Linked DNA regions of Daphnia pulex. The protein of the gene in region 1 interacts with the protein of each later gene in a biochemical or structural test. Links are inferred from orthologs where the notes say so. Each region holds a gene or a part of one and is shown in the gene's direction. Other genes may lie near its edges.

What was found. The genes of interacting proteins can lie anywhere in the genome.
Region 2: the proteins of AP-2 complex subunit mu (region 1) and autophagy-related protein 9A-like interact in a biophysical measurement, tested with the Homo sapiens proteins (4 studies listed by BioGRID and IntAct, with this or other methods). The link is inferred for Daphnia pulex from reciprocal best matches to the Homo sapiens genes AP2M1 and ATG9A.

What each region holds. Positions count from the first base shown.
Region 1 is NC_060028.1:9,468,591-9,472,884, reverse strand, and holds the start of AP-2 complex subunit mu, read left to right. Parts: upstream 1-1,494; 5' UTR 1,495-1,653; intron 1,654-2,017; 5' UTR 2,018-2,044; coding exon 2,045-2,221; intron 2,222-2,291; coding exon 2,292-2,454; intron 2,455-2,524; coding exon 2,525-2,640; intron 2,641-2,712; coding exon 2,713-3,080; intron 3,081-3,145; coding exon 3,146-3,379; intron 3,380-3,453; coding exon 3,454-3,565; intron 3,566-3,627; coding exon 3,628-3,762; 3' UTR 3,763-4,294. Other genes in the region: polyhomeotic-proximal chromatin protein-like, read left to right, coding at 1-181, 250-664, 725-958.
Region 2 is NC_060017.1:4,163,949-4,168,011, reverse strand, and holds the start of autophagy-related protein 9A-like, read left to right. Parts: upstream 1-1,263; 5' UTR 1,264-1,468; coding exon 1,469-1,565; intron 1,566-1,623; coding exon 1,624-1,801; intron 1,802-2,101; coding exon 2,102-2,138; intron 2,139-2,203; coding exon 2,204-2,375; intron 2,376-2,437; coding exon 2,438-2,567; intron 2,568-2,644; coding exon 2,645-2,883; intron 2,884-2,969; coding exon 2,970-3,142; intron 3,143-3,199; coding exon 3,200-3,404; intron 3,405-3,582; coding exon 3,583-3,704; intron 3,705-3,763; coding exon 3,764-4,063. Other genes in the region: uncharacterized protein LOC124194405, read left to right, coding at 1-890. UniProt on the Homo sapiens protein: Phospholipid scramblase involved in autophagy by mediating autophagosomal membrane expansion. Cycles between the preautophagosomal structure/phagophore assembly site (PAS) and the cytoplasmic vesicle pool and supplies membrane for the growing autophagosome.

The sequences.
Region 1 (4,294 bases):
ATCAATCTCCACCTCTGGCACCCCCGCCTGCGCCGCCTACCACCACAACAACTAACGATCTTCAGCAGATGTCGACGCCTAAAGGAGCTACCATGGCCACATGCGAGGGATGTGGAAAAATGGATTTCATTTCCAAATTTCGTCGTTCAAAACGCTTTTGTTCCACAGCCTGCTCGAAAAAGTATGTCATTAACCCATTTATCTTTTGACTCTTTTAATTTTAACCGTGTTTGTTTACTTTTGAAATAGGTCTAACATAAATGCTTCGCCAGCAGTTGGACCCGTTCAGCCGAATCAACAGCAGCAGCAGCAGCAGGAAACTGTCTCGACAACGACTTGTGTCAACGGTCAGGGAGTAAAAGCAGCCGTTGGCGGTGGTGGTGGGCTACTGACCACTGCGACGTCAACCACTCACTCACCCGCTGCTGCTTCAACAACAGCCGAAGCCAACAACAAATTGGCTTCTCCAACGGCCGTGACAATTCCTCAGGGCCCAACTCCTCCAACGAGCTTTGCTCCCTCTGGAGATAAAGAAGATATCAGCTTGGATGCAGAGTTGTGTGCTCTGGCTGCTCAGCAATTGCGTTCTCCCACAGCCTCACTATCTCAAACACCAACTCACCAGCTCAAACCTGAGCCGAAAACTAATCCAGCCAAGTGGAGTGTAAGTTATTTATTGTTACGACTTAGATTGCACTGATAATTAAGACTTCTATTCATTCAGGTTACCGAGGTCGCGGATTTCGTGCGAAGTTTAACTGGATGTGCAGATTATGCCGAAGATTTCGCATTGCAGGAAATTGATGGCCAAGCGCTCATGTTATTGAAAGCCGATCATTTGATGTCTGCCATGTCGATGAAACTTGGGCCGGCATTGAAGATTTGCGCCAAGATTGATGCTATGCGTGGTGCATCCTCCTCTGAGGGCGGTAATAGCAATCCACAAAACGGAAATTAATGTGGGAAAAGTTCAATCCCCCATTTTTGTGTTGTTCTCCACCAGAAATCGATACGTGTTATGTTTGCCTCATTCAACTGTAATTTGACTCATTGTACTTTTCTGTCTATAGTTTGTTTATGGTTCACGATATGTTTCTTCGTCATTTCTCTCTACGTATTTTGCTTTGGTTATTCACCTTCATTACAGTAATTCTCATTTCGTATGACACATAGATCGTCAGTGAACAAATATATATATATAGATCATTCATACAAAATGTAATGCTCGGTGTAACAAAAGGCATTTAGGACAAAAATGCCATATAACCGCATATAACATTTTCGGAACGAAGAATTTTCGTTTTCAGTGTAATAAATTGACATTGTAATAATAATTTAAATATACATAAAAATCCATTGAATCAAACGTATTTCGTATTATTTTTAATGGTATATTTTTAAAAAATGCTTGAATCAGTCGAATTCTTGAAAATGATTTTAACCTTGAAAGTTCTACTTCCACCCGAGTATTTCAAATGTGGCGCTCCGAGCGCTTTACGGACTTCAGCTGTTTGGCCTGTGATATGGATTGACTTTCTTTCTTGTTAGCACTGTGTTACTGTCATTTCACTCTGACAGTACAAGTCTGCTATCAAACCAAATTGAATACTTATCCACAGTGGGAGAAATTGGGCTGGTAACAGTTACTTTGAGGTAAGAGGTTATGTTTTTTTCGTTGGTGTGGTTTTGAATTATGATGTTTAAAGCGACACAAGACCGTGATCTTCAGGAACGGTGGTTGTGTGTTGGGTAATGCGAAAGTTTATTGGTAGGCGTTGCTCGATATATCAGCTAGTCTACCGGTATTGAGACGGGATATCCTGTGAAGGCAATCAAAAGAACTCGTGCATGCATGGCAAAAAGATAATTCAACATTTCAACAAAAAGTTGCATAGCTTCATTTGCATACTCTAGTTCACAGAGCAAACCATCTACCAAAGAGTTCTTATGGACTTGTATACATGCTAAATGTCATTCTGCACGTTTGAAAAAAAAGTGTTATTTTCTTCATTCATAGGTTTATCACAAAGCTTCAAGAGTCAAGATGATTGGAGGCCTTTTCATCTACAATCACAAAGGAGAGGTCCTAATATCACGTGTGTACCGTGATGACATTGGCAGAAATGCAGTTGATGCTTTCCGAGTAAATGTCATCCATGCTAGGCAGCAAGTCAGATCACCTGTTACAAACATTGCCAGAACCTCCTTCTTCCATGTTAAGGTATTTTCTGATTTGCCATTTTGAAATGTTTTAATGTTCTCAGGATCAATAATCCTTTACCTTTTTTTAGCGTGCTAATATTTGGGTGGCAGCTGTCACCAAACAAAATGTCAATGCCTCTATGGTTTTCGAGTTTCTCTTGAAGGTCACTGACTGCATGCAGTCATACTTTGGTAAGGTATCAGAGGAAAACATCAAGAACAATTTTGTCCTCATTTACGAACTTTTGGATGGTATGTTGGGAAGCAAACACAATTTATTTGTTTGTGTGTTGTTCCTTATCCAATTTATTCATTCTATCAGAGATTCTTGATTTTGGCTATCCCCAAAATACCGACACGGGAGTGTTGAAGACGTTTATTACTCAGCAAGGTATTCGCACGCAAACCAAAGAAGAGCAGGCCCAGATTACCTCTCAGGTATAGATTCGCTCAAACAATTAATGCTCAATGATTGTTTTTAAAATATAATCATGTGGTTATGATTTCCAGGTGACAGGCCAAATCGGCTGGCGACGCGAAGGCATCAAGTACCGGCGAAACGAACTCTTCCTTGACGTATTGGAATACGTCAACCTTCTAATGTCGCCGCAGGGTCAAGTACTTTCAGCTCACGTGGCTGGCAAAGTAGTGATGAAATCCTACTTGTCAGGCATGCCCGAATGCAAGTTTGGAATCAACGATAAGATTATCATGGAGGCTAAGGGTAAACCTACTGCGGATGAATCCGCTGCTCGCACTGGCAAGACAGCTATTGTGATTGACGACTGTCAATTTCACCAGTGTGTCAAGTTGTCTAAATTCGAAACGGAGCATTCGATTAGCTTTATTCCCCCTGACGGAGAGTTTGAACTCATGAGGTTAGTCTGTTCTCCTTTGGTATATACATTGAATTTATGCTAACAAGTGTTATTTTCGATTGCAGGTACCGAACGACCAAGGACATTTCGTTACCTTTCCGAGTTATACCGTTGGTGCGCGAAGTGGGCCGGACAAAGATGGAAGTCAAAGTGGTTGTCAAGTCTAACTTCAAACCTTCGCTCCTGGCACAGAAAATCGAGATACGCATTCCAACGCCTCTCAATACATCGGGCGTTCAACTTTTGTGCATGAAAGGCAAAGCCAAGTACAAAGCTTCTGAGAACGCCATCGTTTGGAAGTCAGTTGCAAACTTTTCTTTAGATCAAACATTAGAGCTGTGTTGTTAAACTTGTGTGGTGTTGATGTTGACAGGATCAAACGGATGGGAGGTATGAAGGAATCACAACTTTCAGCTGAAATTGAGCTTTTGCAAACGGACACGAAAAAGAAGTGGACTCGACCCCCCATTTCCATGAACTTTGAGGTATTTTCGAGGATGATGTGTGTCGTGCATATCGATTGCTCTAATTTGGATTTCTATCATAGGTTCCGTTTGCACCATCGGGCTTTAAAGTTCGATATTTGAAAGTCTTTGAACCCAAGTTGAACTATTCTGATCACGACGTCATCAAATGGGTTCGCTACATCGGACGCAGCGGCCTCTACGAAACGCGTTGCTGAAGAAACGGACGATTCATTTTCGTTGGAAGATGAAGAAACTCGTCTCCAATTCTATTTCTCCTCTTCATGATTAACCCATCACTTACTACTCGTCCGAAAGAAGAAAAAAAAAGAAGAAAGATCTTTGTTAGTCTGTCTTATACTTAGGTCGATGTCGTTGTTGCATCTGCTGAGCGGTGCGAGAGAGTGGATGAATCCTGCTAATGGGAAAAGTAGCTCTGTCTGTTAAGTTTCTTTCATCCAGGATCAAAATTCTGTTTAGTTTAATATTCAAAAGCTTGTACTTCTCTCATCTACTTCTTTTCTCTTCCTTTTATTTTTTTTCATCCGTGTTGAGTGTTGAGTACGTCGTCGGAATTATTTTTCCTTCCCATCTATATCATTGTTAGTGCGCAGAGAGCGAAATTAACCCCCTTCTCCCCCTACCCCCAAAAAAAGAAAAAAAATATCCACAGAATAGTCGTCTTGACTGGATTGCGTTGTTACTGCTTGGATTAGCAGTTCGCGTTCTCTCTCTCTCTTTTTCTCTCTC
Region 2 (4,063 bases), on another chromosome or scaffold:
ACTCTTTGACTGGTGCTAGTTCTATACTAAAAGATTCAGTTGCTGCAACCATCAGCGACAAGGAAATCGTCGACAGTCAGCCTATTAACGTCAAACAATCTGCTTCCACTGCCAGTGCAGGCGCGACTTTCAAGTCGACTCTTAGGGATTGCAATGCAGTTTCAGGGGCTTGTTCAAATGTAGTAGTAGCCCATGACTCGCAAGCCGCCAATCACGTTCCAATTTCTGGCTCAAGTAAAGACCCCCAGCTTTTGCGTTCAAGCGCTTCTTCAGCAGCGTTCCAGCACGATTTGAATAAATGTGAATTTCACTGTGGATCACTACACGACAGAGGCCGCTCCATCCAAAGTGCCGAATGTCATCGTCATCGAATTCATTCCATGAGTAAAATTTTGAAGTCTACTCACGTTCATTTCTGTGACGACGGTACGAATGTGATTCATGATGGAGTGGAGAGCCGTTCTAGTCTCGCCGCGTCCAGATCCCAGCATCAGCACCAGGAGAACGCATCAGGATCGGAGATGGAGCAAGACAGCAGCAACACCATGGAAGACGATTTTGAAAACGAGAATAGCGTGACGACGGAGAAGTTGCTTCTTCTGACGGATCAGCTGTGCAATGAAAAACACAAGCACTTGACCATTTTCGATCTTGGGGTCATACTTGAGAGACTGAAAACCAAAATAATCGATGTTCACCGATTGGAGCGCGAGCGTGAGGATCTGCGGTGTTTTCGTTGGACTATCAACGCCACAATACGAGGTGAAATTCTGCGGGATCTCGGAGTTTTGTACAACGGGAATTATTATTCCATTTCTGAGAGCCCTTTATTATCTGATCCTCTGAGTGGTTTTCGGGATGACGAAGAAGAACGTCAAGATTCATTGTGAACATGTTCAAACTTGTTATACTTTTCGCCAGCGTAGATGAAATTTCCAGTGGGTGCCACTACATATATTCCTCGTTTTCAAATAAGGTGTTCATCTCTCTTGATTGTTTTTCTTTGATTGAAAATTTGCACATTCTGCTCTTTAAAACACTGTTTTAGAATTATGTAGGAGCTAATCAGAAAATACAGTTTATGTTAGTGAGTTCAAATAAATTTGTAAATTATCTCATATTGCTGGAAATAAAATCCCTTATCTCGAATTCAAAAAATTTCTTAATTAAAACTTATTTTTAAATAAATAATAACAATAAAAACAAAATTGTATGAAAATAAAGGACAAAGTGAGATGGATTCATGCCACCTGGCAACGTGGCATCATATTTTGCAACTTCTCTTGCTTTTATTTATTTACTCCAGTTTCTGACTAGATTCTAGAAGAAAGAATTTTACGCAATTTGTTTACATTGACTTCATTAGACAGCTATACCTTGTTCTAAAACTGCTGTAGAAATTTCTATTTCTACGCAATTTTTTGAATGTAGGATTCTGGGATTCTGTTAACAATTTGTAAACATCAAGATGAAAAATTCAGCAGGAAAACACAGTCAGTTTCTTGAAGGAGAAGAAGATAACAGCAATGAAACTGTGTTGATTCATGTGGTTCCTGAAAATAAATGTAGGTGATTTTGATAATTTTTTTCTAAACAAGTAATTCATCTTTTTAATTATTTTAGCAAGGTGGAATCATATAGAAGACCTGGATTCATTTTTTTCACGTGTTTACTTTTATCATCAGCAACATGGATTTCTCTGCATGATGTTGCAGGAGTGTTTTGAACTTTTACAGTTTGCATTCATAGTGGGGTTTTCTTCGTTTTTGCTGCAATGTGTGAACTACAAAATTTTATTCAGGTAATTACTGAATTTTTGTATAGTTAAACATTGTTATTATTTATTTGCTATCTGCAAAAGATGAAATACCTTTTGAAAACTAGTACAAATTTGAGAGGAGTGTTGACATTTTCAGCACTTTTGAATTGAATATAAAATTTCAACAGTAATGGTTGTTTTCAAGATTCAATAGGAAGTGCCTTATTTGGTTTTCACATGCATAGCTCTTTTATTTAAAACAATATTGTTTTTTTTCTAAATGGTAGTGAGTATAGTTTATTTCATATTATGAATTTTAACGGTTACATTGTAACTCCCTAGGGATGAATTTACAGTCAACAGCACATCAAAAATAACTGTGAGTTTTTATTGTTTTACATAATTAAAGCTTAGAGGGATAATATTTTTCAAATATTTCTTTAGTTATCAGATGTGGTTGAAAGCCCAGGGGAATGTGTGTCTTCTTTCAGTCTAACAATGTGGATTTGTATTTTTATTGCATTGTTCTGCTGGATATTACGACTTATTGGTGTTATCTACCATTTTTTTCAATATTCTGAAATTCGTTGTTTTTATCAATCAGCTCTACAAATTGGTATTTAATTGTCCTCCTAATGCTTTACTAGCAACAACATTTATAGAATTTCATAATTTCAGGTGACCAAGATCTCGAAAACTTAACTTGGCACGAAGTTCAACAGAGAGTAAGAAAGGCTCAGCAGGAGTACCAGATGTGTATTCATAAAGCCGAGCTAACGGAACTTGATATTTATCATCGAATATTAAGGTAAACACAGTAATACTGTTTTTTTAAAAATGTGTAGTTTCCATATATTTGTATTTATACTCATTTTTTAAATTCAGGTTTAAGAATTACTTTGTCGCAATGGTCAACAAGTCCATCCTCCCACTAAAGTTTAAGGCGCCACTTGTTGGAGAAACATTATTTCTTAGTCGAGGACTGAAGTATAATATCGAATTTCTTCTATTCTGGGGTCCTTGGGCTCCTTTTGACAACAGTTGGCATTTGCGTGAAGAGTACAAAAGTGTTAACCAGCGAAGAGAGTTGGCCAAAGATTTATCAAAAGTAATTGGATATATCGGTAATTGTTTTGTTTCACTTTTTTGTCGAGGCATTCAAGCTAAAATGTCGTTACTAAATGCATGCTGTTTACAAATTTAACTACAGGCATCCTTAATTTCGTGTTGGCTCCGTTGGTATTGCTATGGCAACTACTCTATGCTTTCTTCAATTACGCCGAAGTTGTGAAAAGAGAGCCCGGAAGCCTTGGCGCTCGCAGGTGGTCACTTTATGGGAGATTATATTTGCGGCATTTCAATGAACTAGATCACGAGTTACAAGTACGATTTTTTGGCAAAAATTTTGTAAATATTATGTTAAATGGAATTTTTACTTAGGCCCGTCTAAGTAGAGCTTATCGACCGGCTACTCATTACCTTTCTGGCTTTTCTTCTAACTTGGTAGCTATCTTTGCGCGGAATTTCGCTTTCTTGGCGGGTGCCATTTTGGCAGTTTTAGTTCTGCTGACTGTTTACGATGAAGACGTTATTACGGTGGAGCATGTGCTCACCATAATGACCGTTCTTGGTGCCGTTGTTGCGGGTAAGTTGGTATCTTAATTTTAAATTTTCGTTTATTCATTCACAATTAAATTCAACTTTATTTTTCATAAAATGAAGTTAAAACACAACTTAGAACCAGTTGTTCATTTATTATTTTAAGAAGTAAAAACAAAAAACTTGCCACCCTTCTAACTTTCTATACTTGAAAATCGGTTCAGGCTGTCGAGTTTTGATTCCCGAAGAAAATATTGTATGGTGTCCTGAAAGCCTTATGGAGACTATTTTAACCCAAGTTCACTACTTACCCGCTGAATGGAAAGATAAGGCCCATACACACGAGGTAATGATATTCTAATTATTAGATTCTTGAGCCAGATAATTTTGTTGGTTACTTTGAAGGTACGCTTAGGTCTATCGAGATTGTTCCAATACAAAGCTGTGTATCTTCTTGAGGAGCTCATATCTCCCATAGTTACACCATTCATTCTATATTTTGGGCTTCGACCTAAAGCCCAGGAGATAGTCGACTTTTTGCGACAATTTACGGTAGAGGTTGTTGGGGTCGGCGATGTTTGTTCATTTGCTCAATTGGATCTACACAAGCATGGACAGGCAAAGTGGCATGCTGGTTTAAGTCAGACATCGGATGAAAGAAGAAATTCATTTCAAGAATCTCTGCCAGTTGTTGAAAATGATATA